Notamacropus eugenii: one gene and its partner. The protein of the gene in region 1 purifies or fractionates together with the protein of each later gene. This does not show direct contact. Links are inferred from orthologs where the notes say so. Each region holds a gene or a part of one and is shown in the gene's direction. Other genes may lie near its edges.

Region 1 (10,753 bases):
GTTGGTTCCTGCACTAGAAGACATTATGGTCTTGGGTTCAACATGTATTTCCTGGGAACATACCCCAAATAGTAGAGTGTAAGCCAATGGAAAAATAAGATTCAAATAGTTGAAATTTATTTTAGGTCAGCTTTTTGGTATCTCACACATAAGCATAAAGTAAGTCAGGGTGAGGTAGCAGGAAGCAGAGGAGGCAGAGGAAAAAAGCAGTCTTGAAATAAAATTTTCTTGGCATAACAAGTTCTGGGCTTCCTCTTTTCTCCTTCCAACCCTATCTTTGCCTTGTCCTCAAGCTCATTCCCAAGTGCTGCAGGAGTGATTCATCCTGGCCTCCATCAGAACCAAACATTGGGATACATGTTCTGACAAAGATATGTGACCCTGAGCAGGTCAAATCATCTCTCTGTGCTTCAGACAACCTTCTCAGCGTTGTAAGTTACAGGGAGGTTGTGGTGTCCTTGTTCCTTCTCCTTTTGCCCTCTCCACCATCTATGATTTTACTTATCAGCTTTGCAAAGCTGCCAAAATTGTATACAGTTTTCCTATTGGTGTCCACAGGGAAGGGTTCATGGGATCATCCATTCATTTAACAAACATTCAATAAGGAAGGGCTCTTTGCAGAACAAATTGATGACATATAAGGGCCTCAAAGTGATTGTTAGTCCTGGGCAGAAGGTCTTTCTGAAGCTGGGTGATAAGGGACCACAGACCTAGACTTGGAAGGCCCCTTGGATGCCAACTAGTCCATCCCCCCCTGCCATTTTGTAGATGGGGAAACTGAGGATGAGAATTCATGAAGGGGCCAGCACTCTAGCTGTACCACTAGAAGTGTCAAGAGCCCTTCAGCCCAGTCATCTGTCATCCCGGCTGAGCACATATGATGTTCATGGCTCTAGATGTGTGTCATGTGGGCGAGGGTGTGAATCTCAATGTTTCTTCAGCCTACATTTCTCCATTTTCGGTGACTTATGTATATTTTTATTGCAATGCTTACTGACTTGATTCATTCAGTTACTATTTGCTGAAATATTGGAATTTCCTTGACATTTCAATGGTTTATGGCATAATGGAGAACCAGCACTGAAAGATTCGGTGATTTGCTCCGAGTCATACAATCAGTATGGGTCAGAACAAGATTAAGTAATGCAGTGGATTGAGCGCTGGCCCTGGATTGAGGAGATCCTAAGTTCAAATGTGGCCGAAGATACTAACTAGCAGTGTGAGCTTGGGCAAGTCACTTAACCCTGTTTGCCTCAGTTTCCTCACCTGTTAAATAAGTTGGAGGAGGAAATGGCAAACCAGCATCTTTGACAAGAAGACCCCAAATTGGGTCAGGAATAATTGGTCATGAATGAAAAGAAAACAGCAACAATTTGTAGTTTGTTGATTTCCTAGGTGTCTATGCTCACACTGAAAATTTAAAAACTGGTTCCCCAAGACTATTTTAGCTGACTTCAGCACACTCTTGAGGATCTTTCTAATAATACACCCTCCATAATTATCAGCTGATATCAGTTTATCAGCTAGATTTAATTAGCATTTAGAAAGGCAGATTCTACTAAGGTAGTACAGGAAGAAGAGTAGGAGCACCCTTCCCCAACTCCTTCCTACTCCCCATCCCCCATTCAGTGATAACTACAAAATCCAAAGAAAAGTTGGCCCAAACTTAGGGACTCCATGTGGCAATAGGTAATTCATAAGTCTTTCCCCCTCCTTCCTGAAGTTCCCCACAGGGATGTGAAGCTTTTATTCTGGGTTTCCTCTTGGGGTTCTGAAGCAGCCATCCTTCAGTGTGTCAGGTTTGTCCTAGGCTCTGACATCTACTGTCCCAGGGAGAAGCTTCCAAATCCTCCCTCTCCAAAGTTTGAAAGGGGGAAAGGGAGAAGAGAGAGGCAAAGGCCAATTTTTTTCTCAGTGGTTTATCTGGGATGGCTTCCACCACTAAGCTGCTAGGAGCAGGGAGATTTCTGAATTACCTTGCTAATTTTATAGAAAACCCACAGAGTGTGACTGAATTCCCTCAACTAATTAGAACAGACTTCCTGTCGCACCTCGTTGACATGCCTTTGATTAGCTGATTTCATAGATATATCTAAGTGTTCTTCACATTTATTCACTTTTCTGATTGATTGACTCATTGGAGGTGTTCTCCTCTGACAAAAGTCTCAGGGCTTGGATCTTGTTAGTTACTTTAAGTGTGTGAAAGGATGTGCTAGATGATCAGGGTTAACCCCCATCCTAACACACATTAAGTATTTTACAAACCTTAAATTACTATAGAAATGAAGGTTGTTAGCCTTATTCCATCATGGTGGAGAACCTGCTAAGGTTTAGGCTCAGTTACATGCCACCACCACCACAAGGCATTAGAACAAGGCTTGGACAACACCAGTTTTTCCCAGCTGTGTTTCACATTATCTCTCTTTGTTCCAAACATAGGTGGACTACTGGTTACTCCAGCCTCATGCTACCTCCTGCCACATCACGCATTCAGCTAGGCTCGGAAGGCCTCCCTGTAATCCCTTCTTATTGATATCTTTCCCAGACCCAGCACAAAGTGTTACCTTCTCCAAGTGTCCTCACCCTCCTTGAATTTTTAATAGATCTTTTTTTTTGGTATTCTAATTATTTGTGCAGAGGTCTGATTCCATCTTGTTTGACTCTAAGTTTCAGGAAGGCAGGGAGTATGACCTTTTTTTTAATCTTTCCACTGGTCCAAGGCTACCCAGTGCCAATCACAGGGCCTCACACACCGTAAGAGCTTAATCAATGTTTTTCTGAATAGTTGAGCCCCAGGACTACAATTTTGAAGCCATGCTGCCCCCTTGTGGTTATTGATAATACATTCTCCCTTGCTTGATGAGAACTTTTCTGATTATCCAGAGTGAATCCCCATCCCCTGAAAGCCTTGTTCCGGCTGTGCAATAATGAGGAAAAGTGGAAGAAGAGAGCTTGAGGGCTCTTCGGCCTTTATCCTGCCTCTGAACTCATCCTAGTCACCATAACCATTCATGAACAATGAATGCTCCCATTCCCCTTGCCATACCCTTGGTCCAAGTGTCCTGATCATAGAGAATCCTAGAGCCCAAAGAGCCAGGGAACTTTTTGAGATTAACTGCCAGAGCTAGATGGGACCTCAGAACACAAAATCTTTCTCCTTAGCTTTAATCTTGCATTCAACCACTGTCTACACATCACCACCTAGATTGCCCTTTGGTACTGAGAATTCTACACATCCCAAACCAAATTTACATTCATGGTCCCCTCTAAATTTACCCCTCCTGTCCATTTCTCCTCTAAATTCCGTTGACAATGCTGCCTAATTATGCGGGCTCAAAACCTTAGAATGACTTCTGATCCTTCCCTCCTCCTCCTCCTTCACACCTATCCTCTCTATCTCCAAGTGCTGTAGACAACACCTCACTCTTGCAACTGTCCCCCTTTTCTTCCACTTACATGGCCACCACTGTGGTTTGGGTCCTAATCACCTCTGGCTTGCACTCTAGTAATCATTTTTAAAAATAGATTTTTCTCCAGTCTCTCTGACTTCTGTTTGAGTCATATAAGCCTACCTGAATCTTTCTAAGGCACAGTTGATGTCACTTCCCTCTGAAAAACCTTCAATGGCTCTCTATTGCCCTTGGGATGAAGATATAAACTCTTTAGCCTGACATGTAAGGTCTTCTACAATCCAACCCTAACAAACCTTTCTAACTTCATTTCACAGTACCCCCCTTCACCCAGTCTTTGTATCAATACAGGTGTCCCTCTCATCCCTTCTCATTTTAGACTCAAAATTCTTTTATTGTGGCAGCTCTTTTTGTAGTAACAAAGGAATTGGAAACTAAGGTGTCCATCCATCGGTAAATGACTGGATCAATTTTGATATATGAATACAATAGAATACTATTGGGTCACTAGAAATGATGAAAAGGATAGTTTCAGGAAAACCTGGGAAGACATGTTTGAAATGATGCAGAGAAAAGTGAATAGAACCAGGAAAACAACTTATGCAATAACAACACTGCAAAGACAGACGGCTGAGAAATGCAACAACGTTGTTCAGAGGACTGATGACGAAGAATGCCAGAGGGATGATGGACTCACTATACAGAGGCAATGGGGGTTCAGTGACTTGCCCAGGGTCACACAGCTAGTAAGTATAAAGTGTCTGATGCTGGATTTGAACTCAGATCCTTGTGACTCCAGGGCAGGTGCTCTATCCACTGTGCCACCCAGATTCCCTTAGACACACATTTTTAGACATAGCCAATGCAGGAATTTATTTTTGCTTGATTCAATTTAATTCAATAAACATTCATTAAGTGCCTACTATGTGCCCAGCTGGCACTGTACTAAGCACTGGGGATACAAATAAGAAAAAACAAAGACTGCTTCTGCCTTTGAGGGGCTTATAGCGACAATGTAATCAGGGAAGACAAAAAAGGCTTAGGGGGGAGTTGAAAGGGTGCTTAATTATGATTTTGCATATTTGTCACATATTTCTCTATTTTTATTTTTTTTTCCAATGGAGGGTTGTGGGAGGGACAGACTATAAATGCTGGTTAATTAAACATAATTAAATTGTTGAAAAGGAAAAAAAAAGGAAATTTCTCTTTGTTCTTGATTCACCTTAGGTATCACCTCCTCCACAAAGCCTTCCTTGATTTTTCTAGTTGAAAATGATTGCTCCCTCCTCAAATTTTGGTAGAGAATTTCGAATGGATTTTTCCTACGTCCCAATCATATTCTACCTTATATTCTACTTTATAGGACTATAGATTTTGAGCTAGAAGGGCCCTTTGAGGCTAGCAGGTCCAATCCCCTTATTTTACAGGTGAGGAAACTGAGCCAGCAGAGATTGAATGACTTGACCAGGGTTAAACTTATTTGTACACGTTTCTCATATCCCTGAAGTAACGTGGTACAATGGAAAGTTTGTTTTTGCAGTCAGAAGGCCTGTGTGGAAATGCTGGGGCCTCTGGGGGCAGATCACTTAATGTCTCCGAGTCTCAGTTTTCTCATTTATAAAATGAGAGGATTTGACTAGATGACCTCTAAAGTCTTTCCTAGCTCGCCCTCTGTGGTTCTTGTGTGTAGGTGCCGCCTCATTTTTTCATCTTTTATATCCACACGTCTTACATGGCTCCTGTCTATCATGTTACAGTAGGCTTTATTAAAAGTCGAACACGTTGGATTTTTTGTTGTTTGGGCTCCTTTAACAATTTCCTTATAGGCCAAGGAGGAAAGAAAAGAAAGTAAAAGCTATCCCATCGACTAAACTGCAAAGGCTTTCCTCTTTTAGCTTTTCATCTTGATTTTTTTTAAATTTAGGAGATCCTGTCACATCCCTTTTGAAAACAGACAGGATGTTCCCCATATGTCAAGGATTACAGGTTTCCACCAAAAAACAAATCAAAAACCCAACAAAACCGAAAAACAAAAATAAAACTTTTCTATTGAATGAAGAGAACGTCAGGAGTTAAATGTCACAGTTAAGAAACACTTCAGAGACTATTCTGTGTAGGCCCCTCATTTCACAGATGGGGAAAACTCGGACAGGTAGAGAGGCCAGGGATCTCCAGTTCTCAGCCCAGCCCCATTGCCTAGTCGCGGGAAAGTTCTATCGCGCCCCGCCCCTCCTCGCCCCGCCCCGCCCCGCCCCTCCTCGCCCCGCTTCGCATCACTTCTCGTCGCCCTGTCCTGCCCCTCCGGCCCACAAGGGGGCGCAAGGCGTAGGGATCCCTCCGCTCCAGTACCTTCTGCCGCTTCCGTTCTCTTCCTCCAGACAGCTGCCGTCACCTCCGGTGCCGGGTTCCCTGCAGCTTCGGACGCGGGATCGATGAGGGTGAGCGGGGCCGGCCGCTGGAGCTATGGGGCACCCGGGCAGGCGCAGGGCTGAGGGGCCGGGGTGGTGGCTCGAGCCGGAGTCTCGGGAGGGAAAAGGGCGGAGGGCAGGGCTGGAATCGGGGCCGCCTGGGCCGGGCCGGAGACGCAGCTCCGGCCCATTGCCGCGCGGGTCCTGCCGGCGTCTCCTTGGGGCGCGATCCGAGGGGCCCGGCGTCTCACCCTGCCCTGCATCCCTGACAGGCGGTCATCCGGCCTCGGACTGGGCACCGCCGCCGAGGGGGAGCTCGCTGCTTAGCCCGGCGGCCATTCTCTGCAGGGCAGTGTTAACTCTTAGGAAGTCTTTCCCCCCGGCCGATGGCTGCTCGGCAACCTCCATGGCTGCACCCAGCTCTCCTCAGGGTGAAGCCGAGCCCCGCACTCTCCATCCTGTGCTTGCTGCCTTCTCCAGGGAGCCTCCTGCCCTCCCCTCGTAATAATTGACAGCTCACCTGGAGGGATTTAAAGTTCTGAAAGAAGACAGCCACGTTCTTTGGCTTGAGTCTTCTCCGCGTTTTGTAGATGAGGACACGCAGGCCCAGAGAAGGAAAGCGAATTGCCTAGGTCACAGGGGGAGCTCGTTTGCCCCGGTCAGTACCTTGTCCTCTGACATAGCACAGAGACGGCCTCTTCACCAGCCTGTCCTGTCCTGTGTCCTGAAGACGTGTGTGTGTGTGTGTGTGTGTGTGTGTGTGTGTGTATTCTACCTGAATATTGTTTTGGCGCAGCTATTTTCTAGCTGTGTGGTCTTGGACAGTTCATTGCCAAGAGCTTCAGTTTCTTTTAATGAGATTTCAAGGAAAATATTGTGCAACCTTTAAAACACTATGGAAGGCACAGTGGGAAGGCACTCCCTACCCAAAGTGCTTTGCCATGTGTCTTTAACTTATACGACATAAGTGTAAGAAAGTATATAAATACGTAGGCTTTGCCACTTATTTACGTGATGACTGGAGAAATAACTTCCCCTCTCTGCTTTCAGATGCATGCTTAGTAAATGTTGTTCAGTTGAACTGAACGCAGCCTCTTGGGTGTTTAGGGATCTCAATTCCATACAGCTAGTGTAGATGCAAGCATTTATTTGACATATATTTATGATGCTATGTGTAGAGAGCATTGTATCCCACAGTGGGAAGAGAGGCAGGTAAGATGACATAGTCCTTCATGCCATGGAGGTCACAGTTTGGTAGGGGAATCAAAAATATATTACTATAAGCAGAAATCATACAGAACTATAATGTAGGAAGTACTATATATAAGCAGATTATTGTGTTATATATAAGCATGATATTATATATAAACTTAAGGGAATCACCACGTGTGACTTGAGGTGCCAAGGAGGAAAGATAATGCATTTATGTGGAAGAAGGATTAGACCTGCTCCCCATGGGACCTCTAGAGGGCAGGCCTAGGAGCCAATGGGGTAGAAGTTACTTACAGTGAGGCCGCTTTCTGCATAATCTAAGGAAACCTTGCCAGCAGTGAAGATCTGTACAAAAATGTGCTGGGCTGTCCAAGGAGATCACTGGGAAACATCAAAGAGAAGCCGGATGACCATTTCTTGGGTTGTTGTAGGGGGAATTCCCATTCAGAAATGGGTTAGATTAGATAACATCCAATGTCCCTTTCAACTCAGAGAAAACCTGACTCATGCATTAATTCAGCAAATATTTATTAAGTATCTCTTATGTGACTGTACTGCCCTAGGTGCAGGGGAAGAGACAAAGATGAATTAAACATCATCTCTATTCTCAGGGAACTTATAGCAGTAGTTCTTTTTTAAAAATTATTTTTATTTATTTGATTAAATATTTCCCAGTTAGGGGTAAAAAAAATTTTAACAGTGATATTTAAAATTTTGCGTTCTAAATTCTCTCTTCCCCTCCTTGAGAAAGCAAGTAATTTGATTTCAGTTGTACATGTGAAGTCATGAAAAACATGTTTCCGTTAGCCATGTTAAAAAGAAAACACAAAGTAAAACAAAGTGTTTTTTTTAAAAAGTGTGCTTCAATCTGCATTCAGAGTTCATCAGTTCTCTCTGGAGGTGGACAGCATTTTTCATCATGGGTCCTTTGGAACTGTCTTGGATCGATCATCCAACTAGTAAATGTTGTTTATCAGTGTAGCAGCAGTAGTTCTAATGTCATAGCAGTCCCTGGCACCTTGTCTGTATTGCTGATAGCCTCCTCCCTGAGCCTCACTATCTATAAAACACAGCTATGGAACACTCAGAGGCTTCTTATAGGCTAAAAGATGAGAGTGTTTTCATTTGGGTGGGCTTAAGAGACATTGTGATGTGGATATTACTTCCTGGGCTAGAACTCGGGAGACATGGTTCTGTCACTCTGCTCTGTCAAACATGAACTGTATGATCTTAGGATAGTCACTTGACTTCTCAGGGTCTTAGTTTCTTCAGCAGTAAAATGAGGGTGTTGGACTATAAATGATCCTAAGTTACTGTTCAACTCATAATAGTCTGTGATTCTTTACTTTTTTTATGCACGTCTTATTTTCTGAAGCAATATAGAAATGCTTAGAGACTCCACTAAGGGAATGAACCCAGATCAATCTCTTGATTTCAGAGAAAACCAGCCCTTAACTCTTGCAACTGATGCAAGAGTCTCGTTTGGGAACTCCGACCAAACTGCCACAATGCCCTTTCTGCATGGCTTCCGGAGGATCATTTTTGAGTACCAGCCTTTGGTAGATACAATTTTGGGATCTCTGGGGATACAAGATCCTGACAGACAGGACAGTCTGGAGAGGTAATTACATTTTTTTTCCTCTATGGTTTGTTTAAAGCAGTGAAGGCTACCTGATACTTATGGAAAGTGGAGATACAAGCTTTCTGACAATGAATTCTGTAACTGGGGCAAAGATGAGAGAGCCAGTACCAGTCTTTAGGAAGCAGTGAATCAGGAATCAGGGTACTGTATTCACGGGGTCATAGCCCAGAATTTTAACCAAGACTTTGTGGTTTTAGAGAAACCTACATTTTTGCCTCAGTTTTCTTCCTCCTTGTATCTTGATATCCTCTATCTGTAATAGAGATGAATGGAGATAGTGCCTTTGTATCAGTACATCATATTCAAGTGTGTCTCTGAAGTTGCGTGATCTGGCCATCAAATCTTTTTAACGTGCATCTGAGGAGCAAACCCTTACAGAATACTACGTTAAATCCTTTTGGAAGGGGAAAAGTCACTCCCCTAATATGCCTTCTGTGGCAACCTACATTTTCATGTATTAGATTTACCTGAAAATTGAGGCATAACTATGTCCTATAATGTCCTTTAATGACTAGTATCGTCTCAGCATTTACAGTTTTGGCCAGTGGATGTGCATGAACCTCTGTAGGAAAGTTTCCATATAATTTTTAGGAAACCATTTGTGGCTAAAAAGCTTCCAACTATGTTGGGAAAAAAAACAACTACATACTGTTATAAGGTTTGGATGATCACGAAAGATCCCTTTCACCTCTGACATTCTGTAATTTAGACTTGTTTTAATTTTCATATAAAGGGAGTCTGTTTAGGAAGGAGTGTGTAAAAATAGGGTAGAAAAATAGATTGCCTTTTCATCATTCTGGAATTACTAAGAGCAATGATAGATTGAATTCTTGATACTTGTAGTATTTTTTTAACTTGATATCCCAGCTCCTTGACATTGCTGACCAAATCAGTCCCAAGTGTATAGCTTCACACTGAAGGCATCCCATCAGGCAGTAATCTGAGAAAGCATCCAGAGAAGCCAGTGAGAGGAACCTAGGACTTTGTAAATCTCCAGTATTCAACACTGGCATGAGGTCTCATTCAGCAGATAAATATCATTGTATAAAAAATTGTCAGAAAATTTTTAGAGCTGAGCAAATGATCAAATGGGCAATTTTAGTACAGGACTAAACCATAATACTGAGGCAGGCATTTTTCTTTTTTAACATAGAGCAGGTCTTCAAGAAGGTATTACCCATTCATACCAGATGTCTTATGTTTGGGCCTCATTCCAGTGTGTTCCCTTCTAACCTTCTGGTTTCCTTCCTATGTCTTAGCCCAACTTACCTGGCTGATGATGGAAGTCGGGTCCTTCTTCTCAATGAGCTATTGGAGAGGGAGGCGCATTCCCCCTTTTACCAGGAAGGTGTGAGCTATTCCTTGCTGAAGATGGCAGAGCTTGGGCTGACACATGCGGCTGACACCCTGTTGCAGAATGGAGCTAACCTCAACTTTGAAGGTCAGTTGATTAGTGGTGTTTCATTCTAAAATAGTTTCTCTGACAGCCCTAGTAGGGGCTGAGCAGGCAGCTTAAGAGTGAGATCATACCTTGGTGTAAAGGCCAGGCCTTGGATGTTTCTGGTTTTTTGATTCCTCAGGTGTCACTTTAATTTTTATTGTTTAAGCTCTGAAAGCAGCTTTCAACTTGTGGGCAAATGCCTAATGAGGGGGAGAAGAGGACTTGGCTGAATGCCTCCTCCTCTCTCTGCCTTTTAAATGGTTCTCTTGCCACCTCTGTTCTAGCTGAAGCCTGTCTTTGCTTCAGCTCCTCCTGTGTGATTGATTTAGCAGCCTTTCCCCAAGTCCCCAGTTATGTCGCCTCTCCCATTAACGTTAATGAAAATGTGCCTGCTGGCACTGAGCCCAGGCCTAAGAGAAGATAATTTCTTGCTGCTTTTCTCTGAGCTGTCTTGCAGTTTATTTGTTAATACCGTGTGGAGAGGAGAGCAGATAAGCTGCTTTGGGCATAAATCATGGCACGAAGGCGTTAGTTTCCTGTCGTGTAAATGGCCACAGAACCAGGCTGCTTCATGCAAAGGAGAATGTGGTCCTTGGATGGCATGGGGTAGGTAGGGCCTGGGTAGTGGGCAGTCATGGGT
Region 2 (10,323 bases), on another chromosome or scaffold:
ACCTTATTCTTACATTATATTACATTTGTCATTTTTATAAAAAGTTGCTTTTCCAAGGAAAACTCAGTAAAACAGATTAAATCTTTTTCTGTGATTTCTCCTTCTTTTGAGCAAATGCAGTTTCTGCCAGGTTAGAAGTAAGCGTGCTGTTAACCTAGTTAAGAAAAAATGAATCTTCTTTCTGAGGTTGTGTTTGTGCAGGTATATTTGGGAAAGGGAGCTGTTCCCTACTTGTCACTTCCTTGGAAAGCACCTTCTACATCAAAGGAGAGAACTTCTAGCCACTCCACTTCTTTATTAAATTCAAGCAACAGCGTATTCATCAAACATTTCTTAGGTGACTCTTACGTTCAAGGCATTGTGCATAGGGTAGGAAATGCAAAATGAATGAGCTTAGTACCCGTCCAGGCAGAGCAAATGGGAAAGAAGAGCTAGGAATGAAGGTGATTTCCTGAAAAATGGTGAATAAGTTCAATAAGCTGAGATCTCTTTGTTCTTATAGTATGCTGCTTTGAATTTGAGGGGCTCTTGTGCTAGGTAGAATATAGCTATGGTGGGAAAAGAAAATCTGGGAAATTTCAAGGCTCTAGCAAGTTGAATAAAAAAATTGTTCCAGTCCTAGAAAGATAAAAATCTATTGTGAAGTACTTATTGAACACTTACTACATGCATAGCACAATGTTTGGTACTATAGGGAACAGGAAAGAAGCAGGAGAGCTATTCATTCAACAAGCACCTGTTTAAAGCCTGCTATAACACTGGGTTTGGAGGTGGTGGAAGGCTAGAGGTTTGGATGGTAACTTATGGTCATTCAACTCATTTAATAAACATTTATTGAGCATCTTCTACATGCCAGAAGCTGGGCTAAGTGCTGGAGACAGAAAAAGAAATAGTCCCTGTGCTTAATGAGCTTGTTAGAAAGAAACAATATGCATGTAAAAAAGCAAATGCAGACTACATAAGAAGCAAAGAAATTTCTGGAGAGAAGGCACTAGCGACTTGGGGGATTGGGGAAGGGCTCATGTAGGAGATGGAATTTGAGTTAAGCCTTGAAGAAAACTTGGGATTCTATAAGGCAAAGATAAAGAGCAAGTGTATTCCAGGCATGGGGCAAAAGGCATGGATTCAGGAGGTGGAATGTTACATATGAAGGATAGTAAGCAGACCAGTCTACAGGCTAGACTAAAGAGTGCATGAACAACAGTAATGTATCATCAGTAAAGGTAGGCTTGAATCAGATTGTGGAGGGTTATCAAAATGCAAACAAAAGTGTTTATAATGAGATACTTTATTCAAAGTTTTGCTAGGCAAACTATATCCACATCACCTCATCCACTGGCACAGTCATCTAGTCAAAAAGGGAAATGGGGTTAGTGTGTTCATAATGAAGCCTGCAGACTCCTAGCTTGTTTTACAGATAAGGAAACTGAGATCCAGAAAGATGAAGTGATTTAGTCCGAGTGCGATTTTAGGCGAGTCATTTAACCTCACCGTACCTCAGTTTCTTCATCTGTAAAATGAGGGGACTGAACTAGATGAGCTCTAATGTCCCTTCCTAGGTCTAAATCTAAGATTATCTGATTATAAAGACAAAAAGACCAAAGCTAAGAACTGAGTTTTGGTGGATACCCATCATACCCCACTAAGCTGGATCAGTTAGAAGAGGAAGGAACCATTTGGCTGGGGATGGGCCTAGGGTGGTGGTGAGCCTGGGAGGGAGAATGGGGTGAGAGGAAGGGGAGAAGGGGGACTTATCAACAGATGCAAAGAAGCAGAGACAAAAAGATCTGTACACAGAGTCACAGGTCAAAACAACCAGGGATCAACTGTTCTCAAGCAGAGTCTGTTTATCAAACAGGAACTGCCAGGAAGAAAGATTTAAGCTAAATTAGAGTTCAGGTGCCAGTAGGTCAATAAGCTGAAGATAATAGAGTCTTGGATCAAAGGGCAGATCTTACTGGCAGTTCTTATGGGGGCAGCAGAGAAGCACCCTGAGGGTTTTACAGCCCATATCAACTGACCCTGTGCTCCCTAAAGTTACAATTTTGCTGAGATTCATTTATTTTAGATTCATTTAACAAAATTATTTAAATATTTATTTAAAAGAGAGAGAGAATTCCACCAGTCTTCCAAAGAAAAGAAATTTCAGAACACTTTTTTCACCCATAAAAAAATATTTTTTATAGAGATGATGGAAAAGGAAAGAGTAAGAATGAAGACAGACAAGTGAAGAAAAAGAGCAAAAATGGTCATATTTACTTTCTTGGAAAGTCTTGTGAAAGGAGTTTTTGAAGGGATGAAAGTACTTTTCTTAATAGAAACACAACAGGAAAATCACCATAGTACAGAAATACAAATACCTTCCTCCTGACCAATGCAACAACATAGCCAACTAAGATACAACATAACCAACTAGTAGACATTTGGTTAAGAAATAACCTTGTGCACAGGTTTTATAAATTGATGGGATGTAGGGAAAGTGGTTGAAGGCTAGGGCAGAGTCAAAGATGACAGGTTTTGTGCTTGGGTGAGACTGGAAGGCTACGGTGCTACTAACAGGAGTAGGAAAGCTGGACTAATCCTACGATTTAGAGATGGATTAGGTTTTAAGGCTTATCTGCTCCAACGCCCTCAGTTTACAGATGAGGAAACTGAAACCTAGGGAAATGGAAAGCTTTGGCTAAGGTCCCATGGGTAGTAAGCAGTACAAATAGAGTGGAGCCAGTTTTAGAGAGATGATGATAAATTCAGTTTGGACATACTGAGTTTGAGGTAATATCAGGACATCTAGGTAGAAATACTGGACCATCATTCAAAAAAAAAAAATCAGGAATGGTTATACAGATTTAGGAATCATCCCCATAGCTGTGATACCTGAAATCATGACAATGGATCCTCTCACCAAGGGAGAAAATATAAAGAGGAAAAGCAAGGGGTTATGATACTTCATCCTCTGTAAAAGAGGGGTAGACATAGTGAGGTATTAAAATATGAAAGATGGGGGTAAATAGAATTCCCAGTAGAAGATCACATTCTTCTCAGTACAATAGAAAGTGAGGTCATTTGCTGAGAAAAGTGGGGTAAATTTTGGGTCCAGATGCGAAAGGAGGTTTGCAAAATCCCCTGTGGAAAGTGTGACAAGGTGTTTATTAGAGATGATTAAAAGCTTTGAGGTTCATGATGGAAAATACCATCCACATCCAGAGAAAGAACTATGGAGTCTGAAATCAGATCGAAGCATACTATTTTCTCTTTCTCTCTCTCTTTTAATTTCTCATGGTTTTTCCCTTTCTATCTGATTCTTCTTTCACAACATAACCAAAGTGGAAATGTGTTTAATATGATTGTATATGTGTGTATAATATAGTATATACATATGTATATACAATGTATATTGTATATGTATACATATGTGTAGGTAGTATGTATTGTATATAGTATATATACATATATGTATATATACAGCCTATATCAAATTGCATGCTGTCTTAGGAAGGAGGGGAAATTCAGAATCAGAATTTTATAAAAGTGAATGTTGAAAACTAAAAATAAGTAAATGACAAGCACTGAGGTTAAAGAATGATTTCTAGTATCAGTATCTTATCAGTGCGTAGGTAGCCATAAGATGTCCTAAGCCTTACAGAGCGTTCTGTTGCATTTAAGGGTCGATGGCACATTGGTTTAAGTTTCAGAGCCTGAACATCTTTAACTGGGAAGATAATGTATTGCATATTCAATAAACCCTTCTACTCTTATTTGGGTAAGCTCCTTTTCCGCCATTCCTGCACAGTTCATATGACTCACAGCACCTGTGAAGGACAAGTCTTGGTTTGCTGGTTCACATCATAGCTTTGTTCCTCATTGCTCCTCCATTCTCTGTTATCCTGGGCTAGCCCCCTGCTTTGACATGCCTTTGACCCATGACTGGTTCTACATTCTGTCAGACACCAATTGCTTGCTTCTAGGGGGCCACATGGATTGCAAAATCTCACAAGATCACACTAATGCCAGTCAGGAGGACAAAAAGTAGATGGGAGGGATCTTTGCCCTCATCATCTGATCAAGACACTGTATAAACAAGTTACTCAGCATCTCCTTAACCTCAGACATGGAAGCAAATACAGGGAGGCTGCCATTATGCACAATATCCTTCTTATCCATGAGGTCCCTGTGCCACATTAATTTTTTTAAAATTTCCCTTAGTGCCTCCCAGTGTGCTATGAATATACTTACTGCCCACAAATAGTGGTTGCATGAATGAGTTCCAAATGTAGTGAGGGCTGTGCTCATCTTTGAGTACTTGGTAAATATTTGACTCGTCTTACATACAACCATAAATAATGGCCATGTTCAAATATGATTTCCCAATCAATATTTTTAGCACTGACCTCTCAAAAGATCTCCAATTCTGTACTTTTTGTCCATCCCTCCCCAAACCCCTGATGCTGAATGAGTCTAATTCATACTTTTCTCCCAATCCCTCTTTAAACTCAATCTATCATAATCAGTCCCTATGGTTGTCAATTGGCACTACTATACCTCAAATTCTTTCTTTCCCTTAACTTTTAATGTATAACTAAGCCCTCCTAGACTTCTGTTTCCACTTCAGTTGGACAAATTTAATGTTTCCAGGAATATTTCTGCCATCTCCCAACTGTGGTACCACATGCCACTCCTGCCTGGAGGAGCTTTCCTCCTTCTTTCAACCCATCTATTATCCTTTCCTTTTTCAGACTGCTCATTAATAAGCAACTACCTTTTTAGGCTTAGTCTGGTTGGGCTCCAAATTCTCTAAGTAATCCCACTGTGATCATCTTCCGCACTACCTCAGCTATCCAGCACTTACAGGTACCCAATAATTCCGTATAAATGATATTGATACTCACATACAGCTTTGTGAGGAATGTTCCTTCCCCCTCCCTCCCCTGTGCCCACTGCTGACTTAAGAAAACCCTAACGGGCTGAGGGCTGCCAGGGAGACGGCAAGAGGTCACCAGGAGAGTCGGGAGGAGACGAGAAGGACAGCCGGTATTTATGCGGCCCTTCACGCGTCTCGTCTCGCTGGGTCCTTCCACTTGGGCAGATAGCACCTCCCCACCGCGCAGAGGAGGAAGCTGAGGCCGCACGGGTTAAGGACCTGCTAATTTCATTTACGTAAATATTCTCCAACGGATCCTCCCGACGGCTCGGGGAGGTCTTACCGTGGAGAAGTTTAGGCAGAGGAAGGAAATCAGTGTATTGATCACCCATACGTGCCTGCATCGTACCAGGTGCTTTCCTAATATCCCACGTGATCCTCGCAGCAGCCCCGGAAGCTGAGAGGGCCTTTGTGATTCCTATTTTACAGACGGGGAAACGGAGGCAGCCAGTGGTGGCGCGCCTGGCCCAAGGTCACGGAGCTCGTGAGTACGGGAGGCAGGGTTTGAACTCGGCTCTCGCACAGGGGTAGGGAGCCTTACTCGGCTGATTCCTTGCCCTCTTTTACGAAGTGACTTCAAGCACTGGGGGCTCGGAAGGCCAGGGCTTAATTAAGCTCGGCACCGGGCCCAGGCCCTGCCCACATCAGGCCTCAGGGCTGCGGACTGCCGGTGCCCGGCCGAGGGCAGCGCTTTCGAGGGGCGACCAAGAACCCAGGACCACCCGCGGCAAGGTGAGCGCAAGAAGACACGCGCAGGGCAGGAGGGGGCGGGGCGGGGCCCGTTCAGCTCCGCCCCGGTGACGTAACCCAAGCGCAGGCAGAGTCGTCCAATCCTGGGCCGCGGCGCCGCGCCGGCGGGGCTGACGTCGGCGTGCTCAGCGGCGTGGTCGACGTCGGCGTCCGCGGGGGCGTAGGCGGCGGGCTCGGTAGCTAACGGTCGGCCGGCTCTTCCCTGCGGCCGCCTCTGGAGGGAGCTGCAGCCTCTCCCGAGGAGGCTTGGCCCCGCCGCCATAGCTCCCCGCCGCGCTCGCCCCAAGCCTCTCCCACGCCGGCCGGCCGGGCCCGCCCGCGCCGCCATGGCCGACGTGGAGGACGGAGAGGAGCCTGGCGCGCCGGCCTCGCACTTGGGCAGCTCGGGCTCCAAGGCCGCAGGCGACAAGATGTTCTCCCTCAAGAAGTGGAACGCTGTGGCCATGTGGAGCTGGGACGTGGAGTGCGACACGTGCGCCATCTGCCGGGTCCAGGTGATGGGTAAGCGCTGCCACGCGAGCCCGGGGCTGCCGCGAGGCCTCCGGGGCGTCTCCCTCCCCCACGCGGCCACGCACGCGCGCTCCTCCCCCGGCCCCCGTGGGGGGCCGACGTCTTCCGTGGGCCTCTGAGGAAGCAAGCAAGCGCGCGAACGCACGCACGTGTGAGCGCAGGCCCGCCCACCCGGGCCTTCTACCGACGGAGGGGGTGGGGGAGCGACGCGCTTTCCTGTCGAAGGCCCGCAGGCCGGCGTGAGACTGGGCCGGGTGTGGCCGACGGGGCCGCGCGTGGGGGAAACTGCTGAGCGCCCCCCGCCCCCGGCGGCCGCGCCTGTCAGACCCGCGGGCTCGGGGGTGCCGGCCCGGCCATCCCGAGGCGCCCCTGCCCGCCTGGTCCGGCCGTGGGGGGACCGGTCCGCAGGGACGGCGTGCTGCACCGAGACGAGTTTGATCACACTTAGAGTAAAGGAATCATGTGCCGTGTGTGATCGATAAGCTATGATTGATACGAGTTGGGACGTGCGTTTGCTTTTTATAGACCCGAGGCCCAGGCAGGTGAAGTCGTTTACTCCCAACCCTCCTAGGAAGAGTGCTGTTTAAATACAAATTACGAGAAAGAATGGAGGCAAAGAGAGGTTCATGTTAAAAAATAAAACCTTCTGTACTTGGGAACTAAAATATGAGTTTTAGAGTCATTAGAGGGGAAGTAAATTGTAGACAAGATTTTCTAATTAAGGGATGAGATTTTTAAGCATATTGGATTATCTTAAGCATCCTGTATCTTTTATCCTTTCATTTTGAGGATACTTTATAGTATTTATAGTGATTCAAATATATATATTTTAAGTTTTTTATCTTTTTTCTGTAGAATTTTGTTACAACTTAATGTTGATTCTTACTTTTCATGCTAGGGACATGATTTAATTTTTCCTCTGACATGAGAAATACGATCTCATTTTAAAATTTGGGTAGTGTTATTTTGTTGAGAGGGAAAAAAACCTTGATTTATTTTATTTAAAAGATTTCTAGTATTATTTTTCTTATGTAAAGCTGTGAAAAAACTTACTGTAAAGGAGTAGAAGTTCTGATTTTTTAAAAAGGAACATTTCAGTTTGTAGGTTAAAGGTTTGTTTTCATGGTGTCATTCATTGTGTTCATCCTTAAAGTGAAAATAGACCTCTAAAATGTTACATTTTGTTGAAAGTAAAAACATTTTCGGCTTCTATCCTGCATTCTGAAGGGTTAATATTCAGAAAGTAATTTTCTCTTTTTACCAAATTAATTACTTCAAACATTAAATAGAAATGTGGAAACCTATAGTGGCAGTTGATATTATATAACAAACATGCTTGAAGTATCCAATGCATGCATATAAGAATTCAAATGGCTGTAATTCTACCATCTTAGTTATAACACTTATTCCACAATTACCACGTTGATACAGATTTAGAGCAGTTAGGTTTTCTTAGTCTACAAGTATTTTGGAATGTATATTACATACAGACTTTTATTTATGGACTGCTAAAGTCCAGTGAGTATTCAGTCAATAATAATAGTGAGAGATTCATTTTTTTTTTAAACAAACCACTTCTGTCCTAAATTACTAATTAATGATCCTAATTACTACAAACTAAGTGACTGACAGTTAATAATACATTAAGTATAAAGAAGTAAATAATACCCTACTTAAGTTAGATATGAGCATCATGAAAATTCAGGCAGATTTTATGGTTAAAAAGATAAAAGTAGGATTTTATATTAGATCTCGTTCAGAGTTTTGATATCGAATATAAGCCAAGTCTTTGGGAACAAAGTCCAGATATGGTGGCATTTATGAAGAAAGTTTTTGTTCAAGTTTTGTATCCTATACAGTGCATTACTCATTTGAATAAAATGTGCATTGAGTAGACTGGGCCATCATTGCTGAAATTTTGGGATTTATTCCAGTTATCAGTGATTTCTTGTGATATCCTTGCTCAGAGGTTTGACTGTCTCCACTGGAATCTTTACTCCTGCTATTTAGGAAGGTGGCACAGTTACCAAGAGAGGAATTCAGGAAAGAGAGAAGAGGCATGCTATCTGTGCCAGCGGAGTACATGGATGAACCAGCAGGGGAGTGCTCCTAAGGTTCCTTTTAGGATTTCTGTACAAAGTAATGATGTATTGGGGGACATGACTGAGAATACTAGAGGTGGTATGTATGTGCTACAGTCAGGAGGAAAGGGGAGGAATGTGAGAGGGCATCTAAGAGGTGCCATAGGCTTTCAGATGTACCAAGAGTTTTAGGTGTGGCCTAGTAAAGAGAGTATCAGACTGGGTTAGAACACCAGTTGTATGACCTTAGACACGTCCATCACTTTACCCCCTGGTTCCTAGTTTCTTCATGCAGAGTCAGAGGTGACCTGAGGAGATGGGGAGTTAATTTGTTTCATCTTTCTTCAGTGTCATGAGGCCAGGATTTCTTGTCTACCTAGAATAGGCCTAGTGTTTTAAATGTACTTTTCTCTACAAAAGGATAGTTGTGGCCTTATTCAGCAAAGTATATCTTGAGGAAAAAAAATCTGTAGAATGTTATATCTCTTTATAGAACAACTATTAAAAGCATTGAGAAGGAAAATAAATGTGAATTATAGTATATTTGTTTTTCAGGAAAATGTTTTCTACCTTCAGCATTAAAAGCTGTTCGCTACTATTTTTTGTCTTCCTTTTAGCTTATTAAGAATCACATCTAATGTTCTGGTAGCTATATTCAAAATTTTAATTTTAAATAAAGTACAATGGAGAAATTTTAATATTACAATAAGTGTATCTTCCTATTATACTTGAAATTTAGGTGGTGTATGCCTCTTATATTTAATGGACCTTCCTAGACTCTTATTTCACAATGGCTTTTTAAAAGCCAAAATACTGGGCACAGGATCAAATGAAAATGAGAGTCAACTAGGTGGCTAGTGAACGGAGGCTTGGACCTCAGTTAATATCCTGCCTCAGAGATGACTGAGAAATCCTGGGCAGGTTACATGATCTGTCTCATCTGTAATATGGGGTAGAGTAATAAAGTTGTAGTGAGAATCAGATGAGATCTAAAGGGCTTTGCAAACCTTAAGCTCTCTGTAAATGCTAACGATGTAGTACTTGGATGAGGAAACTTTCCCTGATCACCCAGAAAATCCTGGTTCAAAAACAGATTTCAAAAATTGTTTTCTTGATATCTGAAGCTACAGAAACCATGAACTTTTCCTTCATGTACATAAGTCAAATGTTATTAAGCATCTACTGGTTTCCTATCTGTGTGCTTAAGGATATAGAAAGAATTGTACCTTTAGAAGGTAGAAGGAACCTCCAAGTCTCTACCTGTCTAACCCCTTTCTTTCACAGGTAGAGATACTGAAAACAGAAGCAAAGAAACTCCAGGTCACACAGGTAGCGAGTAACAGTATTTGAGCTCATGTTTTACAAGACAAAGTATTCTGGCCCTTAAAGATTTTACATTCCTAGTGGAGAGAGAAAATGTGAATGGTTTCTGTAGTAAAGATCATAGGGAAAAGTTCTAGTCAGGGAAAAATAGTGGAGGTCTAAGCCTTGAGCTTAGCCTGCAGGGAGTTGGTGTAGCAGAGGAGGGAGGAACCACCTGTCACACTGAGCCCAGTGTCATGGAAAGAGGAGAGGACACTGGCTTGTTGCTGGAAACATTTGGAGATAGGGTTGGTCAGGAAGACGCAGCCTGAAATACCCATCTAATTTTAGAGCTAGAGTATCCTTAGAGAACTAATCCACCCTCTTTTATGGATCAGGACCCCCAGAAAGGTTAAGGGTTAAAGGTCACACTGCTATAGTTCAAGGAGGGAACCTGATCCTAGTGTTTTTTTCTCATGGTGACACTTTTGTCATTAATCTTTTTAACAGAGGCAGCTAGATAACCCAGAGTGCTGGACCTGAAGTCAGGAAGACCTGAGTTAAAATGCAGGCCTAAGAGACTTACTGTGTGACTCTGGGCAAGTCCCTTAACCCCTGTCCGCCTCATTTTCCTTATCTGTAAAATGCAGAGGATAATAACAGCACCTACCTCCCTGGGTTGTTGTGAAGGGAAAAAATAAGGTAATATTTGTAAAGCACTTTTCAACCCTTAAAACATTGTGTAAATGCTAGCAATTATAA

The links.
Region 2: the proteins of ASB6 (region 1) and RNF7 purify together in Homo sapiens (co-immunoprecipitation; 4 studies listed by BioGRID and IntAct, counting the BioPlex papers as one, with this or other methods). This does not show direct contact. The link is inferred for Notamacropus eugenii from reciprocal best matches to the Homo sapiens genes ASB6 and RNF7.

Annotation. Positions count from the first base shown.
Region 1 is NC_092872.1:481,160,210-481,170,962, reverse strand, and holds the start of ASB6 (ankyrin repeat and SOCS box protein 6), read left to right. Parts: upstream 1-5,746; 5' UTR 5,747-5,848; intron 5,849-5,978; exon of another isoform or gene 5,979-6,476; intron 6,477-8,468; 5' UTR 8,469-8,538; coding exon 8,539-8,651; intron 8,652-9,931; coding exon 9,932-10,113; exon of another isoform or gene 10,114-10,466; coding exon of another isoform or gene 10,467-10,719; intron 10,720-10,753. UniProt on the Homo sapiens protein: Probable substrate-recognition component of a SCF-like ECS (Elongin-Cullin-SOCS-box protein) E3 ubiquitin-protein ligase complex which mediates the ubiquitination and subsequent proteasomal degradation of target proteins.
Region 2 is NC_092877.1:330,007,072-330,017,394, forward strand, and holds the start of RNF7 (RING-box protein 2), read left to right. Parts: upstream 1-5,742; 5' UTR 5,743-5,994; coding exon 5,995-6,169; intron 6,170-10,323. UniProt on the Homo sapiens protein: Catalytic component of multiple cullin-5-RING E3 ubiquitin-protein ligase complexes (ECS complexes), which mediate the ubiquitination and subsequent proteasomal degradation of target proteins.